Sus scrofa: one gene and its partner. The protein of the gene in region 2 interacts with the protein of the main gene of each other region in a biochemical or structural test. Links are inferred from orthologs where the notes say so. Each region holds a gene or a part of one and is shown on either strand. Other genes may lie near its edges. The genes, in order: GCK and GCKR.

Region 1 (11,691 bases), on a different chromosome or scaffold from region 2:
AGGGTCCTGGCTGCCCCATCCCTGGCTCTTGGGAGAACCAGTGGCCATCCCGCTCATGCAGGCCTGTCCCCAGAACTGGGCATTACTGAGTACTCTGCTGATTGACTAAGCTCCCTGATGGGTGCCAGGGCCCGGAGAGGCCCCCACACCATCCCTGCTGCCTTGATTCCTACCCGGTTCCTCAGTAGGCGCGGGTGTGGCGAGGACCAGGCTGCCACAGGCCTCCTAGCTTGAAACCCTGCCCCTCTGGCTCCAGCTCCCCGGCCCCCACTCCCCACAGGGCTCATTCTACTCCTGTGCTCCTTCTTGAGCCCTCCCAGGGTCAGGGTGGTCTCGCTGCCTGGGCAGATGCTGCAATTGCAGTCATGCCCCTGGCGTCCATGCTGAGGTGGGGAGGGGTGCCACCGGGGGAGGCGGTCAGCTGTGTCCCTGTTGGACCAGCGTGTTCTCTCAGCTGCCTTGCCACGTTTCTGATTCTTCTGGGAAACTGGGCAGGGCTGCGACCTGCTGGAGCCAGGCCGGGGGCCGGCCACCTAGGCCTCTCGGTTGCCTCTTCCTCCTGAAGCAGGGACCACCGCTCCCCCAGCCCCGATGCACCAGTGGGCCCTCCCTCCAGGACTAGCAAGCTCTGAGATCCTGGGCGGTGCGGCCTCCCGGCTCCCAGCCTCCCAGCCCCCAGCCCGAGCTGCTCACCATCTCAGCAGTGCCGGTCATGGCGTCCTCGGGGATGGAGTACATCTGGTGCTTGGTCTTCACACTCCACTGCCCCTCCTCGCCTTCCCCCACCTTCACCAGCATCACCCTGAAGTTGGTGCCGCCCAGGTCCAGGGAGAGGAAGTCCCCAACCTCTGAAGTCACGGGGAGGGGGGGAGCACATCAGTCTCAGGGGTGTTGCCCAGCAGGACCCCAAGACTGGGAGACCAGCAGAGCTGGACATGGGGTGGGGGAAACCCCAGGGTAAACTGGGCAAAGGGTCAGAGGTGAACTGGAGAAGTCAGTGGGACTCACTTGCCTTGGACTGAAGTCACCCTGAGCCCAGGGCCCACTTGAAGACCTAGTGAAATGGCCCAGACTCAAGACTGGGCTGGGAGTCCCCCTAAGGACCATGAGAAACCAGTTTCTCATTGTGAAATTTGTGTGTGTGTGTGTCTTTCTAGGGCTGTACCCGCAGCATGTGGAGGTTCCCAGACTAGGGGTCGAATCGGAGCTATAGCCCCCGGTCTACGCCAGAGCCAAAGCCACTTGGGATCTGAGCCGTGTCTGCAACCTACACTACAGCTCAGGGTAACACCAGATCCTTAACCCACTGGGTGAGGCCAAGGATTGAACCCGTGTCCTCAAAGATGTCAGTTGGGTTCATTAACCACTGAACCATGACGGGAACTCCTCTCATTGTGAAATATTAAAAAAAACAAAAAAACCAAAAGACAAAAACCCAGTTTTCCTGAAGCCAGGATGAGTCTGAAAGCCCCAGGGCTGGGCCAGTGGAGCAGAGGCTGGGAACTGCCCAGGGTCTGGAGCCCAGCATACTGGGGACCGGACAGTCAGAGCCCTTAGGAAGGGCCTGAGGGCCTTCTCCCCACTGGGGCCTGAGGACAGCTGCCTCTGGGTGAGGAGCTGCTGGTTCCCACATGGGGCCCACCCCTGCCCTGGACCCCGGTACCTGAGCCTTCTGGGGTGGAGCGTACGTAGGTGGGCAGCATCTTCACACTGGCCTCTTCGTGGGTCTCCAGCCTCAGGCCTCGGTCCATCTCCTTCTGCATCCGCCTCATCACCTTTTTCAGGTCCTCCTCCTGCAGCTGGAACTCCGCCAGGATCTGCTCCGCCTGCACAGGGAGGGGGGTGGGGAGCAGTTGGGTGGGGGAAGGGCCGTGCAGCGCTGGGGAGGGGGGACTGAGGAGTGGGTATTTCCTCAAATGCACCGAGGGGTCTCCTTTTGCCCCCTGACCCTGGGTCCAGGATGACCCATCATTTCAAACTACCACAATTAAAACCAGTTGAATATCGAGGACAGCAGAGTGCCACACCAGCTTCTCAAAAAATGCAGCAGGTGGGAGGGTGAGGGGCAAAGGGCAGATGTGGCGCCTCCATTTATTCATTTATCTATCCTTCTTTCTATCTATCTATCTATCTATCATTTTAGGGCCACACCCGAGGCATATGGAGTTTCCCAGGCTAGGGATGGAATTGGAGCTATGGCAGCTGGCCGACACCCCAGCCACAGCAACTCGGGATCCGAGCCTCTTCTGAGACCTACACCACAGCTCATGGCAACGCCAGATCCTTAACCCACTGAATGAGGCCAGGGATCAAACTTGCATCGTCATGGCTACCAGTCAGATTCACTGCCACTGAACCGCAATGGAACTCCGACAATTCACTGGATATTTGGACCAAAAAGGAAAGGGAAGATACTTGGATAAAAGCCATAGACCCGCTCTTCTCAAAAACTCACTCTCTTGCCTGCAGTCTTCCATGCAAGCTTGGGGGTGGAAATGCCCTGAATTCGAATCAGGAGGCAACAGAGATATTTGCCCCTTCTTCCTCAGTTTTGGGAGTCCACATGTTGTTGGGGGTGGGGGGACCATCACATTAAAGGAAGGCAGCCCCTCCCCAGGCCCAGGAGACAGCCTGTGATTGGGCTAAGCCAAGCACTGCTATCCTATCCTCTTCTGCTAGTGATTTGGTTTAGAGTTGGGCATGTGGCCAGTTGGGCATCTGGCCAATCAGATGAAGGGAAGCCTGATTTTAGAAGAAGAAGGGCCTTCTGGGAAGGTCAATGCCCCTCTCACTTTGTGAACACAGCTCTGTAAGGGTGTGATGACTGGCACTGCAGCAGCCATCCTGAGCCATGAGGCTGAGGGGAAAAAGCTGTCAGCACATTATAGATGGTGGAGGAGAGAAACAGAGTGAGCCCACCCTTGATTGATGTGCTGAGCCAACCCTGGATCCACCCACTTCTAAATGTTGGTTTGGGGAGCAAACGCTGATCACTGAAGACCAGCTAGTTGGGTGTTTAGCTTCCTGCAGCCCAAAGCATTCCTAATGGATACAGATCCTTACTTAGAACGAACTCTTTTCTTCTTCTTCTTCTTCTTCTTCTTCTTAGGGCTGCACCTGTGGCTGCAGCATATGGAAGTTCCCGGGTTAAGGGTCGATTTAGAGCTGCAGCTGCAGCCACACAGGATCCAAGCCATGTCTGCAACCTACACAACAGCTCACAGCAATGCTAGATCCTTAACCCACTGAGCGAGGCCAGGGATCGAACCTGTGTCCTCACGAATGCTAGTCGGGTTCTTAACTGTCTGAGCCACCACGGGAACTCCAGGAACCAATTCTTTTATTGAGACCCCCACACTTAAAATTTAAACCCAGGGAAGGTCACAAAGGGATGAGGCTGACAAAGCCTATGACAAAACACCCAATCAAACACCAGTGTTTGCTAAGCCACTCTGCAGCCCTGGCATGGGGTGGAGGTGTAGCCCACCCCAAGGCTGGCCTTGCAAGGTGCAGCCCTGGAGAGGCCCTCATGCCCTGTGAAATGATCCAGGCTGCAGGCTGGCCTCAGAGGCCCACGCCTTCAGCTCTGCCTGCCCCGTCTTTCTCTTTTTTTAAAAAATTTATTTATTTATTTATTTATTTTTAATTTTTCTTATTACTCAAATGAATTGATCACATCTTTATTGTATAATGATCATAACAATCTGATTTCACAGGATTTCCATCCCACAGCCCAAGCACATCCCCTCACCCCCCCCAACTGTCTCCTCCGGAGACCATAAGTTTTTCAAAGTCTGTGAGTCAGTATCTGTTCTGCAAAGAAGTTCTGTCTGTCCTTTTTTCAGACCATCTTTCTCTTTTAAAATGTCAGGAATAAATAGTAACATTAACTAATTTGCCGATTTCTTCCAACATGCCTGGTTGTTGAGATGCAGGCACATGCAGCCAGTGCACCATGGGAAACCAGGATCCAGAGCCTCATGCACAAGGGCTGCTGTCAGAAAAGGCTGCCTGAGGAGTTCCTGTTATGGCTCAGTGGGTTAGGAACCTGACTATTATCCATGAGGATGCGAGTTTGACCCCTGGCCTTGCTCAGTAGATTAAGGATCCAGTGTTGCCATGAGCTGTGGTGTAGGTTGCAGATGTGGCTCGGATCCTGCATGGCTGTGGCTGTGGTGAAGGCCGGCAGCTGCAGCTCCGATTTAACCCCTAACCTGGGAACTTGCATATGCTGAGAGCCCCAGGGCCTAAAAAGAAAAAAAAAAAAAAAAAAAAGAGGCTGCCTGGCATTGCTCTCAAAACAGAACTGTGGACCTCGTGGGCTCTGAACAAAAGTGATGCTCATCCTGCAAAGCCCCAGCCCTCAGGCCCTGCTGGGGTCGTCTGCTCTCCTTCTGTCACTGCAGCCCACCCCGAGGCTGTGAGCCTGGACTCATGAGGGGCCATGTTCCCATGGCTTCACCCCAGGCCCCTGTGGCACAGGTTGAGAAGGGTGCTGGAAAGTTCCATGGCCACAGCCCAACACTCCAGGTGGCCACGAGTTGGCACAGGCTTCCAGCAGATCTCCCCTCTGGCTGGGTGAAGCGTCCTCCAAGGTGGTACAAGCCCCTCCCTCAGGTGTGTTGGTGGGGCCTGCAGATGCTGCACACATGGAGCCTGCAACTTTAAGAGGAAGGGGCTCCAACGTGCGGGCATGTACCCAGGTGGGTGTGGGTGGGGCTGAAGTCAAAGGGCCAGGGAATGGGGCCTCTGCAAACGCTGGAGGCCCCAAGGGCTCCAAAGCCCATCCCTGGGCCCTAGGGGGCAGGGTGAGCCCTGTCGTGAGCCACCCTGCAGCTGGGTGGCTATGTACACACAGTGGGTGACCCTGGGCCTGTTGGCACATACTCCTGGGGAAGAGGATCCCCAACCTGCCAACGCCAGGCCTGCCTGGAGGATCCCAGGACAACCAGGATAGGAGAGCCCCTGAGAGCCCCGGGGCCATCCTGTTCTCCTCCTGCCAAGTCCCAGGCCAGGGCACCAGAAGCCGGGGTCCCAGGGGGCCATGGCACTGTCAGATGGCAGTGGCCCTGGCTGGAGTGTGGAAGAATTGCTCGGGCAGGAGGCCCTCCCATGTTTGGGCATGGCTGTGAGCTTGACAGTGTGTTCCTGAGACCTCCTGGCCAGCAGGCAGGGGCTGTGGGGCAGGGGGCAGGGGACAAGCTCCGTCTGTGCAGCATGCCCCAGGCTGCTCGAGGAGAACTTTAAGCCAGCTGAGGCTTTTGCAGCCTCGCAGGGCTGGACTCTGGGAGGGGCTTGGTAGCCCGGCGGATGGGGAGGGGTGGTGGGCTAGGAGCCGGAACCTGGGTTCAAAGCCAGAACTGAGCCTCTGGCTCTGTGGCCCGGGAGGGCGTGCCTCTGTGCTCAGTTTCCTTGCCTGTAGGGAGTGGCGATAATAAAAATGCCTGTATCCCCAGGGGATTAGGCTTAAAGGAGAACCGGGGATGTTCCCAGGGCCTCTGTGAGGCAGGGGTGGGAAGCACCTCCAGGCCTTCCCCTCCGTCTCCTCATCTGTAGAATGGAGCCTGCCTTCTCTCCTGAGCCCAAAGCGTGAGTGTGGCAGAAAGGAGACAGCTGTCTGCGTGGAGCCCCACAGACCCAGTCCCTGTCATCCTCGCCCCCCCAGCTCGGCCCCTCCCGCTTTTCTTCCAATCTGTACAGCCCGTGGCCTTGACCGCCCCGTGGCCTTCAGGACCATGGCATAGGGATGGCTGAGCGCTGGGAAGAGAGCTTCCACGCACGGAGAAGGGGTGGGTGGCCGTGCGGAAATCGGCTGGGTCTCGGCATGTCGGCCCGGTAGCCACGGGGAGACAGGTGCCAAGTGGTGGTTGGCTATGTGCAGGAGGCTGGAGCTCAGGGGACAGCCTGGCACTGGCAGCCCCAAGAGCATGTCCCCTCGAAGATGCTGTCCCTGAAGACCCTCCCTGAAGAGGTTGGACAGTGGGTGTCAGCAGGGGCCAACTGCCTCATAGCCAGGGTGCCTCCTTCCGGAGGGCCCAGCGCCACCCCAACCTCCACTCCACCAAACCAGTCATGCTGCTGGCGCAGGAAGAACCTGCCTCGGCCCCGGCCCTGGGGACGACTAGCCCTGGCCTTGGGGTGACCCTTACCAGATTCAAGGCTGTCCAGGCCCAGTTCCTTGTGGCCTCCGTTGCCATCTCTCTGAGGGGCCAAGAGGTTGGTTCTGGGGAGGTGGAGACACTCCTGTCTGCAGAGGCGCAGGGCTGGGCTGCAGCCCGGGAGTCTGAGGCCCACCTGTGCAGGTGCGGGCCACCTACCCAGAGAGTCACCCACGCGGGCTGCCCAGGGCTTTGGCACTGAGAGCATTCAGCAGGCGGCTGTTGAAATACTCTGCCCACTGGCACAGGGTCAGGCAGAGCCGGAAGGGCAGGAGGCCGGCATGGGGTAGGGGTGGTGACAGACAACATGGAGACAGGGCTGTGGGGTGGCGACCTCAGCCCATTAGGATGGGGATTTGCTGCCCAGAGGTTCTGGGAGGGGTCAGAACCAGTCTATATACTTCCAGCCCTTGGACAGGCCAGGGTTGGCCGTCGCCATGCTGCCCAGGCCAGGAAAGCACCCCAAAGGGCCTGGCAGGGGACTGCTGAGGAGCTGGCCCCGTGCAGGATGAAGATTCTAGGCTTGGCCTTGGGGGATCCCTGGCTGATTTTCACCCAGAGAGCCTGTGCTGTACTTGGGCCCAGGAGAGGCAGGCTGGTGGCAGGGGCCCTGAGCAAGGTAGATCCCTCAGGAAGCAGGGGTGCAGAGGCTGAGATGCGCGAGACTCCCAGGACTCTCCCCTTCTCTCTTAGGAGAGAAGCCTCCACATTTGGCCAGTCAGGCTGCCAGGTTGGTTGGGAGGGCTTGGGGATGCGTAGAACTCATTTGGGTCAATGAGGGCCAGGCCCAGGCCAGGGGCAGAGGCGGGGGCGGGGCAGGGGGTGGGGGAGGAGGGGTGGGGAGGAGGGGGAGTCGGGCTGGTGGGGGAGGAGGTGGGAAGCAGGCAGAGGCGGGGCACCATCTGGACGGCTTCCCCCACCCCACCCCCACCCCAGGGCTGCCCCCTAAATAAAAAATGCTTGTTTTCATCAGAGGTCTTCAACTGTAAATTGTCAAAACCTGCCTCAAAAGCTGGGGAAGGTCATTCTTGGGTTTGGAGCCTGCAAAGTCCAGGCCGGAGCTCATTTCAAGAACCATTCCCTTCCCCCTCCCAGCTCCCCGCCTGGGAGTGAACTTGTCCTGTCCGGAGAGGCCAGCATCTGCCAAGCCCTGCTAAAATTAGCAGGAGCTCGCAAGAGGGCCGGGGCGGGGAACGGCCGCTTGACAGAATGCCAGGCTCTCCCGCCAGTGGCCGGTGCGGTCATCCCTGAGGAAGCCCTTGACACGATTGATCCCTTTCCCAAAATAGAGCAAAAAGGGCTCCACCGGACCTGCATGTGACAGGTCACCGTCCCACCAGCCCCTGGCTCTGAGCCACTGTTTGCATGGGGGTGGGAGGTGCGGAGGGCTGGCACTTGGGTTTGGAGCGGGGTACCTTCTGGACCAGCCGGGCCAAGATGCAACTGTCCTCCTCCAGGTCTAGGCACATAGCACCTGGCAAGAGGATCAGAATCTTGCAGCTCTGTCCTCTGGGAAGTGGGAGTGGACAAGGGCTGGGGTGGAGATCCGAAGGGCCCCTTTCTGGTCTGCTGGATTTCCTGTGCCTTCTTTAGCTTGCACGTTGACCAGCAAGCATCCTTCCCCAGAGCCCTTCCGTGGGGCCACCTCCTTGCCTTCCCCAGCACCTGCGAGGGCAGGAAGAAGTCCAACACCCCCACTTCTGGAATCAATCCTCCAGAGCCAGCATGCCTCATGCTAGTTCTCCTCTGCTCACCTCACAGGAGGTGTGCCCTGTCTCACCGCCTCCTCTCTGGGGGAGGGAGTGACACTAGAGGGTCAGCACTGGGCTGGAGGCGAGGAGCCCTATATCCCCAGGGAAGAGGGCAGGAAAGGGAGGGCCTCAGAGACAATGGCTTCCGAGGGATGGCCGGGACTTTCTCGGAGTCTTCAAGGTCTCCAGGACAATATCCCGAGGACGGATGAATGCAGCTTCTGCTTAGCCTTTCTCAAAACAGAGCTGTCCTGCAATGGGCTAGGATGTCTCTGCAGATGGTGAGCTCCCCATTGAATGTGGAGAGAGGCGTGGGGCATTTGAAGCAGGATCAGAGGGACCTTGCTCTGTGTCCAGTTGGTATCTTCATCCCTTGGTTGCTCAAGGAGCTGACTGACAGGCATGATTTAATTTTCTTTTCAATTTATCCCTAGGAAGTAATCTGACAAGTTCGGTGATGAATGTTCTAGGTTACTCTTTCCAAGATCAAAAAGTAGGACATAATCCACACGTGTCACTTTAGGAAACTGGTTAAGTAAATTATGGTACATGTATAGTCCGTCGTTTAAAATGATAAGATTGATCTGCTTCCACTGGCATGGAAAGATGTTCATGACACTGTTGAATGAAAACGTGGTGACTGTACCCTAAGAGGGCCTCCAGTGAGCCCCACGCCTGGCCTTCATTCACCCCGTGCAGGCCCCTCGCATGCCGACCAGGCCTAGCCTGTGTGACGGACAGGCTATTGCAGAAGAGACGGAGTGGGACTTTGAGGGAGGCCATCCAAGGCGTGGACGTTTCCACTTTCCTTCCTATTGGATTCTTCATCTGGGGGGAAGCCAGCGCCAGGCCATGAGGACCCTCAGGTTCTAAGCGGGGGGGAGTCCGCTGAGAAAAACTGAGGCCTCCTGCTAATGGGCAGCTCCCACGTGCCAGGCAGGTGAGCAGGCCTCTTTGCGAGCAGATCCAGCGGCCCCAGTCGAGCCTTCAGATAATGCAGCTCCAGCCAACATCTTGACTACAACCTCAGGAGAGACACCGAGCCAGCACTGCCCCCCACCCCCAGCCCAGCCACGGCCGGGTCCCTGACCCACAGAAATAACGGGAGATGATAAAGGTTTGTTGTTTCAAGCCACAAAATCTTGATGTAATGTTTTTATGTAGCAATGGATGATAAATACTGAGGAAAAATAGTTATAAAATATAGCACAATCAATTTTTGTCTGCATATATATATTATACATAATAAACACATGGGGGAAATAGAGCAAAATGGCAATAGCAGTTATCTTGGTGACAATATGAGTGACTTCATTTTCCTTCTTGTTTACCTGTAAGTCCTACATTTTTCTGCAATGTGCATTAATGAAGTAGCACTTTATTTAATTAATTAATTAATTTATTTAGTCTTTGGTCTTTTTAGGGCAGCACCTGCGGCATATGGAGGTTCCCAGGCTAGGGGTCGAATCAGAGCTGTTGCTGCTGGCTTATGCCACAGCCACAGCAACGTGGGATCCGAGCCACATCTGCAAACTACACCACAGCTCACGGCAACATGGGATCCTTAACCCACTGAGCGAGGCCAGGGATCGAACCCGCATCGTCATGGTTCCTAGTTGGATTTGTTTCCACTGAGCCATGATGGGAACTCCATAAAGCAGTATTTTAAAAAGAAGTTAAAAAAACAAAACAGTTGGGCCTTACCTGCTAATTTTGCACTGAGGCTCTAAGGCCCAGACTCTGGAAAATGGAGGCTCATAGTTAAATGGGTCAAATTTCCAGTCCCCATATCACAGTGGGAAAGAAAGTGGGGCTGGGAACCAGAGCCGCCAGCATGCCAGCCCCTCTCCTGTGGCCTAACCAGCTGGGCAACCGTGTGGGCACTCCCTGAGCTGATGCAATGGGGCCAGGAGGTCAGCACAGTGTTGCAAGTGTTTGCTTAGAGCAAAGGCAGACGGGGATTGGCGGTGCCCTTGTGGAAGGGCAGGCCAGGGGCCTGGGGTAACAGGGCATCAGGGACAGAAGCAAGGGGGAGAGGGGCCGAGAGACAGCAGAGTGGGCTGGGGTCACGATGACCACAGCTGGTGGGGGCCCAGGGGCGTCACATGCCAGCTGCTATACTACGAGCTGCATGTGGATCACAACTGGCCTGCAAGCTTGAGGTAGTCATTTTAAATGTGGGGAAACTAAAGCCTGTGGGAGTAAGATCCCAGGGCCGTAAGCAACTTAGCCAGGACTCACCCCTAGGTCAGCCTGCCTCCAGGTGTGCTGACAGTTTAGTCTTCCTGACTAGATGGGGAGGTTCCTTCAGGGCCGAGCACATGCTGGGGGTCAGGAAATAGCCTCTAGAGCGGCTTCTGGGCTGGAGATTTTCAGAGACCTCAGCTTCGGCTGGTGGGGGTGGGAGCAGCAGGAGCTGCCACCCTTTGCATTGCCTGGCATTTGCCTCTGAGAGCAGGGGTGGGCTGGAGGCCTGGGGTCAGGTGTCAGAGGTGACGCCTAAAGGCTGGGGTCATGGGAGGGAGAGAGGCAGAGTGTGGGTGAGGAGCAGTGTGACTGGGGAGAGGAAGGCAGGCTTGGGGATCTTCCAGGGAGGCAGGATAACGTTGTAGTCACACAGGAGCATGAGGTCACCTGCCTGAGTGTGAAGTCTCTTCCATTCACTGGCTGTAGGACTTGGATAAGTCCCTAAATGGTATAGGCCTCAACTTCCTCATCAGTAAAGTGGAGGTAACACCTTACCTACCTCACAGGGCCATTGAGGGGCTTTGAAGGGAAAATGCAGGTAAGACTCTTGGCAATACAAGTTGTTCAATAATATGTAGCTATTTTCACTACCAAAGGATCCTTAGCCTCTGGGTCAGAGTTCAGAACACAGGCTGTCCAAAGTCCTAGATCTATGGCAGATCTAAAGCCAAACTCCCACCCTCATGCCTGCTGATAATTTCAGAGTTTTCTAAGAAGCAGACAGGTGGCACAGCCTCTTTGATGCCACGCCCTCTGTAAATCAATGAAGCTTATTGTCTGAAAAGAGGATGACATCACAGAAAATGGTGGAGTAGGAAGCTCCAGGGGTGAGTCCCTCCACAAAAACAACCAATACCCCAGGAAAAAAAATCAAAATAAGCCTGATTGGACACCTGTAGCAACCAGAGGAGTACCTGATGAAGGGAGAGGCCACTGATGGCTTGTAAGTGAGCACTGGGCACAAATTATAGAAAGAAGTCAAATAGAAACTTTGGAGCTGAAAAGCACAATAGCTAAAATGGGAAGAAAAAAAAAACTGCTGGAGGGCTTCAACCATAGATTTGAACAGGCAGAAGAAAGAATCAATGAAGGTGAAGATAGGGAGTTGAACCTACTCAATCTGCCTAGCAGAAAGGAAAAAGAACCAAATAAAATGAACAGAACTTGAGAGACTTGGGACACCATAAAACACACAACATAAGTCTTGTGGGAGTTCCAAAAGGAGAAGAGAGATGGAAAGAGGCAGAAAAAGGTATTTGAACAAATAATGGCTTAACTTCCCAAATACGATGAAATACATGAATATACACATTCAAGAAGCTCAAACCATAAAATTCTTAGAAGAAAACCTAGGGGCAAATCTTCATTATCTTGAATTTGGCAATAATTGTTCTTACATATGACACCAAAGGCACATGCAACAAAAGAAAAACTGGAGAAATTAGACTTCATCAAAATTAAAAACTTTGTGCATAAAAGAACACTATCGAAAGACTGAAAAGACAAATCAGAGAATGGGAGAAAATATTTGCAAA
Region 2 (11,746 bases):
AGGCAAAAAGACCAGAAAAAAAAAATTTTTTTTAAATAAATAAAAAGCAGTTTGTTAATCCAAACACCACATTTCATGTTCTTTGGACAGACCGATGAAGCAACCTCTGATTGTGATTGTACAGATATGCACCATGACACACCAAACAGATAAAGAGACTACAGCAAAAAGAATGATAAAAGCAGTGTCTGAGAAAAGAAGATTAAAAATAAGTAACTGCAGGAGTTCCTATTGTGATGCAGTGAAAATGAATCCAACTAGGAACCATGAGGTTGAGGGTTTGATCCCCGGCCTCCCTCAGTGGGTTAAGGATCTGGCGTTGCTGTGAACTGTGGTGTAGGTTGTAGAAGCCACTTGGATCCCGTGTTGCTGTGTCTGTGGTGTAGGCCGGCAGCTGTAGCTCCAATTCGACGTCTAGCCTGGGAACCTCCATATGCCATGGGTGTGGCCCTAAAAAACAAAACAACAACAACAAAAAAGTAAGTAACTACAGAAAGGAAAAGATGAGCATCTGGAAGATGAAAGATACAGAGCTTGTGTGTCACATGGAATCCCTGCCTTCCTATCTCACAAAAGGAAGATCAAAGGAGTTCCCGTCGTGGCGCAGTGGTTAACGAATCCGACTAGGAACCATGAGGTTGTGGGTTGGGTCCCTGCTCTTGCTCAGTGGGTTAACGATCCGGCGTTGCCGTGAGCTGTGGTGTAGGTTGCAGACATGGCTCGGATCCTGCGTTGCTGTGGCTCTGGTGTAGGCTGGTGGCTACAGCTCCGATTCGACCCCTAGCCTGGGAACCTCCATATGCCGTGGGAGCGGCCCAAGAAATAGCAACAGAAAAGACAAAAAAAAAAAAAAGAAGATCAAGGAGAATGGCACAGGAGCTCCTGTTGTGACTCAGTAGTAACGAACCCAACTAGTACCCATGATGATGCAAATATGATCCCTGGCCTCGCTCAGTGGGTTAAGGATCCGGTGTTGCTGTGAGCTGTGACGTAGGTCACAGACAGGGCTCAGATCTCGCATTGCTGTGGCTGTAGGCTGGCAGCTGCAGCTCCAACTTGACCCCTAGCCTGAGAACTTCTATATGCCATGAGTGCAGCCCTAAAAAGCCAAAAAAAAGGAGAATGGCACAGATGTGCCCATCCCTGGCTGCAGGGGCAGGGGCAGGGATCCGGCTAAGGCCCTTGTAAGGTCAAAGGAAGGGCAGACAATGCTAGTGAGATGCAGCCACCATCCAGAGGAAAAAAGAACAGGCGCACTGAAGGCTCAGAAGGCCCACATCAATTTTGGAGAGTTTTAGAAAGGCAGAGGAATGCAACTGCATCACGTTTTCTTAAAAGCCCATATTTGAAATTTAAATGTATAAAAGACACAAAAAGAAATTCACTATCTTATTCAATACTTCCTACACACAGATTCAAAAGAGCTTCTTTAAACAGAAACTGCCCTGGACCATTTAAGTGTTTAATGATGACTGACTCAAGAGACAAGGTCAGAATGGAAATAAAACATCTTAAGGGGAAAAACAAAATGAGAAAATAGGGTTCGATTTACAACATTTTAGTAGACGCACAACACCAGGAATTTAGACAAGATGTAACAGAACCTAAAATCGGAGGCCCTAAGTAGGGACAAGGGGGAGGGGAGGGGGCAGGTCTCACCCCAATTGCAGGATTGAGCACAAAAGCTTCCTGTTTCTCTTGCAGTTTCTGCATCCGCTCTGCTATTTGCCGGAACGTTGAACTCCAGTCTTCAATGGGGTCATTTCTGGGGCCCACAGAGAGACAGAGGGGGGAATTATCATCTGTGAGGATCTAAAGGAAGGGCCCTGGATGGGAGCTGGGATCAAAGACCACCCTGGGGTAGGGGTCAGAGGTCAACCACTTCCTAGAGAGATGTGCTCTGATGCTCATAGCAGCCGCTGTGTCCCTGAACCACATGGATGAGGCTTAAAAAAACATCCAGCAGTTTAAGCCCAGAGCACCAACACTCGAGTGTGATGTTCCAGCCTGAGCCCAGAACTCTGTGTCCTGGTCCTCGCGCAGGTCCTATGGCCATGACCACACGAGCTGCACCCTCTGCAAGCCCCTGGGAAAATGCCTATCATCCGAATATCTCAAAATCTCCATCATATTTTCCGTCTTAGGGTCCATCGGAAGCCTTTCCCGTTCCAAGAAACATATTCTAGAATCTGTCCAAACTGTGAACCCCTTGCTACCCGAGGGAAGAGGTAACAGTTGCCACTAAAAGAACCAAGCTGCAAGATAGGAAGTGAAGCAACGAACAGTAAGGAGACATCCCTTGAAGAAATCGATCAGGAACAAAACAAGGTGCCGATGAGGAGGGCAACAGGCTTGCCCTCAGCTCAGGCGCAACCCAGAGATCTCAAAGAGCGGGGAGCTTCTGCAGTTGGCTCTCCTGGCTTTGAAAGGGGATCACTGGTGAATCACGCATCACGGCAGGACCTCAAAGAGTTCCTTCTGTCTATGGCCTCCCACGCTTGCTGTTATCATTGCATTCCTACAAAGGTTCCATCCCTTCTTGAACTATTTTTATTTTTTTTCCCATCCCTCGGATTTCTGCAGTGAATACATGGCACATGTAACACACCCATTGGGTAAAGTGTTTCCTATCATTTGTCCTCAAACTACTTCTGACACTTCCTAGAGACCTAAGACAGAAAAGAAGCCTCAGCAGAGAGCGGAGTCAGTGTTCACTGTGCGGTTGAAAACTGAGACTCCCAGACTTGGCTGGTTATCAAAACTACCTACAGAGGTTTGGTTTTTTAATAACGACCCATGTCTGGGTTCCATGCCCACCCTGAGAGGGCATTTCAATAGTTCTGGCACGGAGCTCCCCAGATCTATATTTTTAAAAAGCTTCCCAGACAATTCTGAAGATCAGCCAAGTTGGGGAGCTACTGATTTAAGGAACAACTGGAAGATCTCCACGCCTGCATTGTTTGAAATCCTTCATTTCACTTAGTCATAGTGCCTGAAATTAGCATCCACTGCAGCAGATATATTTGTGGTGAAGGAAAGTCCTCCATTAAAAGAGATCAGGCTCTTTTACACCTTCGTGTGAATTACACTACACGGCCTGGAATCTGGGAGTTTAAAAAGGAGCTCAGAGAGAACTCAGCTGTCCCTCTCCCAGAGACCACCACTAAATACACCAAGCTGCTCTCGAGTAATCACCAAGCTTCGGCGGGAATACCTCCAGGGACGGGAAGCCCTCAGCTTCACGGGGCAGCCCACTCCAATGGTTTATTTAGCAGAGCTTTCCCAGCCTGGCTGTGCAGCAGAATCTCTAGCGATGCTTCCAAAAATTAGATATATCAGGGCCTTACCCCGAACCTACCACATCAGACCTCCCACATAAGAATTTCTCTCCTTTTTCCTAACAGTCTCAAGGCAGGGCATCCACAGGATCATGCCTGAGCATTACTGGTTTGCGACACTGGCCTTCTTTGAGATCAAAGTGGCCATTTAGACAGAGAGTAAGAGGGAGGTGACTAGAGGCACAGGGATCTCAGGAAAGGGGAACAGGGTGGGGGAATGTGAGTAGCCAGAGGGGACCAAAGAAGCTTCTGGAATGAAGGACAAAGGGCTCTAATTTAAGGCAGCAAAGGAGACTAGGAAGCCAGTCAAAACTCAGCAGCTACTCGTCTTTGAAAAAAATGCTTGAGACCCTCCTCAGATGAAAATACAGATCTTTGGAGTTCCCGTCGTGGCACAGTGGAAACACATCTGACTAGGAACCAGGAGGTTGCAGGTTCGATCCCTGGCCTTGCTCAGTGGGTTAAGGATCCTGTGTTGCTGTGGCTGTGGTGTAGGCCGGCAGCTGTAACTCTGATTTGATCCTGAGCCCGGGAACCTCCGTATGCCACGGGTGCGGCCCCAAAAAGCAGAAAAAAAAAAGAAAAGAAAAGAAAGAAAGAAAGGAAATGCAGATCTTTGTGGTATGCATTTTCCTGACTCTATTCCATCCGCTGACCCTCGTTTTCCTTGCGTCTTCTCCCCCTGCTTTATTTTATTTTTTAGAGGCTGAAAACTTTTTTTATTTCTCAGTGAATTTATTACATTTATAGCTGTACAATGATCATCACAATCCAATTTTATAGGATTTCTATCCCACAACCCCAGGAGGCTGAAAACTTTTAACAGCAGTTATTGAACCATGACAAGTTTATGCCGTAATTGATTTTGATGTATAATTAATGAGGGACAGATCATTACAGCGAATATGCTCCGAAAAACAAATCAATGCATAGCCGCCTCATACTTTGAAAGTCAGCGGATCTGGCGTGGACTCAACTTCTCTAGGTAATGTGAATCCCCTCCTGCCTCTGAACCGACATGAACATCCTTCTAAGGCAGAAATCAACCCAACCTTTCCTCAGCTGGCAACACGATTCCATAACAAACACTCCTCAAAATCCCTACATAGGGTCAACTGGATTCCAAAGCAGATCTTTTCCAAGATACATGGGAACTTTAGCTTTTCTTTCTATTCTTTCTTGGGTCTGTTCTTGGTCAGAGTTGTAGCAAAAATTATCAGGGATGGTCCAGGTCTTCACTATTGTTGATTCTTTTTTTTTTTTTTTTTTTTTTGTCTTTTCTAGGGTCACTCCTGTGGCATATGGAGGTTCCCAGGCTAAGGGTCGAATCAGAACTGTAGCCGCCAGCCTACGCCACAGCCACAACAACGCGGGATCTGAGCCACGTCTGCGACCCACACCACAGCTCACTGCAACGCCGGATCCTCAACCCACTGAGCAAGGCCAGGCATCGAACCTGCAACCTCATGGTTCCCAGTCAGATTTGTTAACCACTGATGCCACTATGGGAACTGCTGTTGATTCTTGTTTGAAGAAAGATTTTGTTTGCAGAATCTAGTTTTATTCACTCTCTGCCTTTTCTTTTTTCTTTCTTTTTTTTTTTTTAAACCATTGCACCTGCAGCATATGGACGTTCCCGGGCTAGGAGTGGAATTGAAGCCACAGATGAGGCCGCAGCCACAGTCACGCCAGATCTGAGCCGCATCTGCAACTTGCAGCAATCCTGGATTCTAAACCCACAGAGGGCGGCCAGGGATCCAGCCTGCATCCTCAGGGACACTGCTAGGTCGGGTTCTTAATCCACTGAGCCACAATGAGAACGCCTCCCTCCCTGCTTCAAACATACGCCTTCTTGTGTACACACCCTTTGTTGGCTGCCCTCAATCCTTTCTGAAAGGAGAGCATAAGTCAGCCCAACCAACCAACCAATCAACAAAAAACCTCATCAGCTCAGCAACACCCCATATTTAATATTCTGAGATTTGGTGAACAAGACCCGATTGGCCCTGCCCTCTCCTTAGTGACTGTCCCCTTGGTTTTCCTAGGTTGCCTCCCCGCCTCCCCTGGGGGTCTGGCCAGTTACCACCTTTCATTACAGTAGGCTCACCTGGCCATGCTCACTGGGTTGAAACCAACCAGGACCGGCAAAAAGACGGCTGGGTTATCCATGCAGTAGTCCATCTGGCCCGCCACAAAGGGAGCCTGGTGGCAAGAAGAGAGAGGAGGGCATGAAGATGGGGACGGGGCGGGGGTGGGGGGGTACTCGAGTCCTGCCTGAGGACCATGTGCATCGGAATCCCCGCCCCCATGCTTGTTTAAATGCAGGTTCCTGGGCCCCGTTAAAAGCTACCAGTTCCAAATTGGAAGTGTTGAGCCCATGGGACTACATTTACAACCAGCTCCTCCCAGGAAATCTTCTGCACGGTAACGTTTGAAAATACTGAACTAGGAGTTCCCATCGTGGCACAGTGGTTAACAAATCCGACTAGGAACCATAAGGTTTCAGGTTCGATCCCTGGCCTTGCTCAGTGGGTTAAGGATCTGGCATTGCCATGAGCTGTGGTATAGGTTGCAGACGTGGCTCGGATCCCGCATTGCTGTGGCTCTGGCATAGGCTGGCAGCTACAGTTCTGATTGGACCCCTAGCCTGGGAACTTCCATATGCCGCAGGAGCGGCCCTAGAAAAGGCAAAAAGGCCAAAAAAATAAAAAGGAAAAGAAAAGAAAATACTGAACTAAACTGTAAGTTCCATGAGGCCAGAGTCCTGCTCTCGAGTGCCTCATTCCACTTCTAGCGCTTGCTGGGGTCCAGTTACTGCTCAGTGACTTCTAAGAGCCAGAGTCAGGGCTGCAGAGTGAAGGGGAAACTTGGGGTCCTCTAGTCCAGAGCTTCTCAAATAAACTACCTGGGAAACGTGCTAAAATGCAGATTCAGACTCACTGGGCCTGGGGTGGAGAGGCCCGATACTCTGCCTTTCTAACAAATCCCAAGTGATGCTGAAGCTGCTGGGGTGAGGCCCGCCCTTGAAGCAGCAAAGGACTGGTCTGGGGTCAGATTTGGCTGTAAAGAGCCAGAAAGCAAATATTTTCGGCTTCGTGGGCCCTGTGATCTCTGTCCAACTATTCACCTCTCCTGTTGAATTGAGAAAGTGGTCATGGACCACATGTAAGCGCAAATGGCCGTGTTCCAATAAAACGTTATTTACGAAGACAGGCACCCACTGGATTGACCCGCCGGTGTCAGTCACCGACCCCCGGACCTCTCCATCTGTTCTGGTTGTCTGGCGGACTGACACACAGTTATTCTGAGACAGGATCCCTTCCCCCCTTGTCCCACATTCATACAACCGGATCCCCGTTAGTGAGAGTAAAATCGAAATTCCTTACGCAAACCCTGTTTTCTAGCTACAGCTAGACGATTGCGGTTGATTTCTCTTCCATGCTATTCCACCCTCCCCCCTTCCCTCCGGGGAGACTGGGCCACCCAGCCTGTCTCACACTCACAGAGAGTCCCACCGAAATGCCAATGACGATGACCCTCTTCTTCCCAGCCGCCACCTAGGAGAGGAGGAAGGGTGAGGTGGGTGCCACCAAGAGGATTCTAGGGTACAAACCTACTTGTGGGGATGTCAGGGCCAAGAGCAGGAGAGGGAATAGGCTTTGGCTGGATGTTGGGGCATCGATGTAACCCCAGTGGAAAACACAGACCTTCTTCAGCTCCTCAATCCCGTGCAGGGCACTATCTTCTGTCCCCTCCCTAGAGGCCACCACAGACCTAAGAGGACAGACTCAAGGTCAGTGGCACTGGTTGGGAAGCAGAAGCCTATGGTTTATTAGGGCTGCTTTAAGAGAAGGGAATGAAGGGAAAACTAGCACTGAACGAGCACCTGCTATTTCTTGGGCACCACAACAAACACCCTATAGGGTGGAAAAACCTAACTAGCTACAGGGGTTAGTCAGGGGCCCATATGTATGAGAAGTGGGCCAGGTCTGAGGCAATAAGGAGTGGAGGGACCAAAGCGAACCCGTCACCATCTCCACGTAAAAGCATTCAAACTTAGTTTCTAACAAGTACGGTGCAGGCCAAACTAAATATGCACAGGCCAGCTGGGCTTACCTGTCTCCTCCTGCAATGAGGTATGTGTAAAGAGGTTTCTGTCCTAGACCTCTCATCAGCTGGTTAAAGGAGACCTGCCAAGGGGGAGAGGACATCAGGGAGGAATGACAAGGAAGGAACAGTTATCTTGGATTTTCAACACCTACACGGTAGAGGCTGTATAATGACTCTCCCAGGTCAGTGCTTAAGCTGACACTGCTTGGAATCTGATGCTTAAAGATGCGGCTTAGAGATGATTAATGGGGTGTGGGGGGATGTAGAGGCACTAGCAATAGACTGGTGGAGCTCAGATGGGCTCAGAAGAAACGGGACTCCATGGTGAGATTGAGCTTTTATTTCTTTGTTTGCTTTCTAGGGCTGCACCCGCGGCACATGGAAGTTCCCAGGCTAGGGGCTGAATGAGCACTGCAGCTGCAGGCCTACACCACAGCCACACAACGCAGGATCTGAGCTGCGTCTGTGACTGATGCTGCCGCTCACAGCAACACTGGATCCTTAACCCACTGAGTGAGGCCAGGGATCAAACCGGCATCCTTATGGATCCTAGCTGGGTTCGTTACCACTGAGCCACAACAGGAACTCCTGAGGTGAAGCTTTTAGAGAAGAAAGAGCCAGAGCTAGAAGGGTCCACCTAGGAGCTTAGCTATGATGAGCTTTAGGGTCCTGAGGGTTACCCAGAGAAGGCAGAGGGAGCCAACCCGGGGATCAGAGTACTCACCGACATGAGGAATGCCATCCTGCCAGAGGTGCCCCCTCCACTCAGCACCACCAGCCCCCCTTCAGGCTCCTGAGAGGAGAAAAATGCCCAGGTCTCCAGGACCCAGCTCAGCTCGAGGGCCACATATTCTCTTCTTCATCAGTAACAGAACTGTCCTCTTACCCCAAAAGCAAGCACAACAGAGAGGATGGTGTAGCAGAAAGACCCTTGGATTCGCTCAAGAAACTTCGGTGTGACACCCCCCCACCCCACCCCCACCTTAGCTACTTATTCAAACCCTTGCTTATTCCAGCACGAGCTGAAAGCAGCTTTGTCATCTTTAAATAGACAGACAGACGGACAGGGAGACAGACTCGGCATAATTGTGCAACTGTTAGTCGCGATGTATTGGAGCAAGCTACAGTGATTATCTTAAGTCTCTGTTTTCCCATCTGGGGAAAAAAAAAAAAACAACGCAGAGACAATAAGAGCACCTGCCCAGGTTTTTGTGATGGTAACGCGGATGAAAGCGCAGGGCGGGTTACAAAGCCATAGGCAGTAAGAGTGATTACAATTACTGTCCATTAGTAAGACATTCATAAGGATCCAAGAGGGAAGACCCGGAGAAAGCAGGACTAAGCTCTATCAACGGGGAAAAAGGGAGAGGAAGGAAAGAGACAAGGATGGGCAACACACATCTAAGCAGGGCATGGATGGAGCGTTGGTACCTTCAGCACTTCCTGAACTTTTCCAGCCACTTGTACCATGGTGGTCAGAGTGGACTCACTGTAGAGTCGCTGGAGGCAACAGGCGGGCATCAGCAGCCAAGGAAAGGCCGGTGGGTGGAGGGGTGAGGGGTCAGGTGGAGACACTCTCCAGTTTCAAAAAATTAGGGACCATGGTCGGGGAGGGCAGAGGTTGAGGTGGGGTTGGGGCTGGGGCTGGCATCTTTATTTGCAGTGTCCAGGGGATGGGGCTGGGTCACCTGGTATGTGGGCATGACTTGCCCCTCCTCCTGGAAGATCTCAGCATCACACTGCCCCAGCAATCGAACAATCTCCTTGGCATCTGCTTTGTCCAGGTCCTGGGTCAGTGGGTTTGACTTCTCCGTGATTGGCAGGGCTGCCTCATACCCGGACAACTAGAGGGAGGGGGTGGACAAGGTTACAGGCAGGGAGCAAAGCCTCATTCAGGCCTGCGGAATTGGAGGTGGGAGTGGCCGTGGGCTCAGTGCTAGGACTTACACACACACACACACACACACACACACACACACAGCATTTAGCCTGCACTTGGTACTCTGGGCCTATTAGGGAAAGAAGATCAGTGTAAATCAACCACACTTTAATAAAAAGAAAAAAGAAAGAAGACCAGGAAGGAAGATGGGAAGGAGAAGGGGGGGAGCAGAAACCTGGGGTGGAGGGAAGTCCCGATGAGACAGGATTCTAGGAATCAGCCCAGAAGGCCAACAGGAAGAAAGGGTCTCACCTCCCACTTGCCAGGCTCCGGGGTCTCAATCACATGTTGAAAGCGTTTTGTGCCTGGCATGGTCCAATGCTGTGGACACACCGTCGAGCCTGCCTCTCCAGCCACAAAACCCCTTCTGTCCCACTGACTCTGCTTCCAGCTGGCAGGCCCTTATCTGAGCCACAGTGATGATTAACCCAAGTACCCTGGCCTCTCTGAGCACCACCCCCTCTGAGCACTTCTGCCTTCACCCTTTCCTGGTCACTAGGCCCCCAGCTCTCTGGCCACCCCAGAGGAGTTCCTGAGGTCCCCCTTTGCAGGCACCCGGAAAGGGGACAGCCTCTGCTTTGCCCCTGAAGAGGAAGACTGGAGGTTCATTACTCCTGCCCAACAGACCATGTCGTCTTCTCTGGAAGGCCTGGAGCCTAGAAAGACAATACCCAGATCCAGGGCAAAAAGAACCCTGGGCATGCATGCTCCAGAACCAGGATGCATCAGGAGGCCAGAGATCAGGGTTCTCAGGGTCAGCAGAGGTCGGAGGACCTGGAGCATGGCTTGATCACATGCTCAGCACACACAATCCTTCCTGCCCTACTTGCCCCATTCCCCTCTCCTCTCAGAAGGAAAGCAACAGAAGCTTCAGAGCCCCAGGGGGGCACACACTGAAGTGCCCCAGAAATAGCTATACTGCAATGAGAATTAGAAAGTATCTGCCCTAAATACAACTTTAGCCAACATTTATTTACTGAACAATGCTTCTCACATACAGTATCTCATTAGATACAATAACACTAAGAAGATGATATTTAAAAGAATGAAATTAACACCATTGGCAGCAACATGGGTGGACCTAGAGAGTCTCATACTAAGTGAAGCCACTCAAAGACAAAGACAAATACCAGACAATACCATTTATAGGTGGAATCTTAAAAAAAAATGATCCAAACGAACTTATTTACAAAACAGAAATAGACATAGAAAACAAACTTATGATTACCAAAGGGAAAAGGGGGGAAGAAGGGATAAACTAGAATTTTGAGATTAACAGATACACCCCACTATATGTCAAAGAGACAAACAACAAGGACCTACTGTACAGCACAGGGAACTATTTTCACTATTTGTCATAACCTATAACGGATAATAGATAAAAAAAATACATACATATAGATACAGATATAGCGGAATCATTTTGCCGCACACCTGAAACTAATACGGTATCGTAAATCAACTATACTTCAATTTTCAGATGATGAAACTGAAGCTCCGTGAAGTTAGGTCAGTTGGTGAAGATCACACAGCTGACAGAATTGGGACCTATACCCAAGTTCTCCCTCCAGATCTCATGCTCAGCCAAAGCATGAAATAACTGAAGGATTTCCATGTTTATTGAATGAAGTAATTGACAAACTGGTGAAAATGAATAACAATCTCTCATCCACACAGGGTTGTAAGATTGATAAAGCCCATTCCCCAACATTGTCTCATCTGATCCTCACAACAGCCCTGTAAGGATCTGCACGCTCTGATTTACAGTGGGAAAACCTAAGACTTACATTAACCTATTTGTCCAAGGCCACACTAAAGTAAGTCGCAGAGCTAGAACAAGAAACAGGTCGTTGCTCTTTAAATTTCCCCTATAAACCCAGCACACTTAATGACAGCTGAATCGGCAACTTTGAACATGTCAGACGCTCAATAAATATTTGCCTAATAAATGAAGGAACGAATGAGAGAATGAAGGGAATCAATATCAGGTTATGAATGGGGAAGACACTTAAAAGCTGACGCAGTCTACAAGTAGGAGATTGTCAAAATAATTATTATCTCCATCACTCTGTCCCCTCCCGCACCGGGGGTGGAATTCCTCTTCCCAACTTGGCTAATTCCATCTGGGGAGGGAGGGGCCTCCCAGGTGCCCGAGACCCTCGCACCTGCGCCTCTCCCGACGCCCCCTCCCCCTCTGCCGCCGGGGCTCCTCGGATGGTGCCGGGATCAGAAGGGATGGGGGCCAATGAGAGGGTCGTGGGAGGAGCCCCGAAAGAACCGGGTTGGGGGGGCGGTGATGACGGCGGTGAGAACCCCAGCGGGGCGGGGCGGGTCTGCAAGTCCCGGCCGGGCTGCGGCG

What was found.
Region 1: the proteins of GCKR (region 2) and GCK form a complex in vitro, tested with the Homo sapiens proteins (2 studies listed by BioGRID and IntAct, with this or other methods). The link is inferred for Sus scrofa from reciprocal best matches to the Homo sapiens genes GCKR and GCK.

What each region holds. Positions count from the first base shown.
Region 1 is NC_010460.4:51,004,070-51,015,760, reverse strand, and holds the start of GCK (glucokinase), read right to left. Parts: upstream 6,843-11,691; 5' UTR 6,468-6,842; coding exon 6,150-6,467; intron 1,827-6,149; coding exon 1,664-1,826; intron 849-1,663; coding exon 694-848; intron 1-693. UniProt on the Homo sapiens protein: Catalyzes the phosphorylation of hexose, such as D-glucose, D-fructose and D-mannose, to hexose 6-phosphate (D-glucose 6-phosphate, D-fructose 6-phosphate and D-mannose 6-phosphate, respectively).
Region 2 is NC_010445.4:111,667,003-111,678,748, forward strand, and holds the start of GCKR (glucokinase regulatory protein), read right to left. Parts: upstream 10,254-11,746; 5' UTR 9,700-10,253; coding exon 9,640-9,699; intron 9,293-9,639; coding exon 9,137-9,292; intron 8,949-9,136; coding exon 8,880-8,948; intron 8,242-8,879; coding exon 8,173-8,241; intron 7,529-8,172; coding exon 7,455-7,528; intron 7,113-7,454; coding exon 7,046-7,112; intron 6,896-7,045; coding exon 6,842-6,895; intron 5,541-6,841; coding exon 5,446-5,540; intron 1,766-5,445; coding exon 1,660-1,765; intron 1-1,659. UniProt on the Homo sapiens protein: Regulates glucokinase (GCK) by forming an inactive complex with this enzyme. Acts by promoting GCK recruitment to the nucleus, possibly to provide a reserve of GCK that can be quickly released in the cytoplasm after a meal.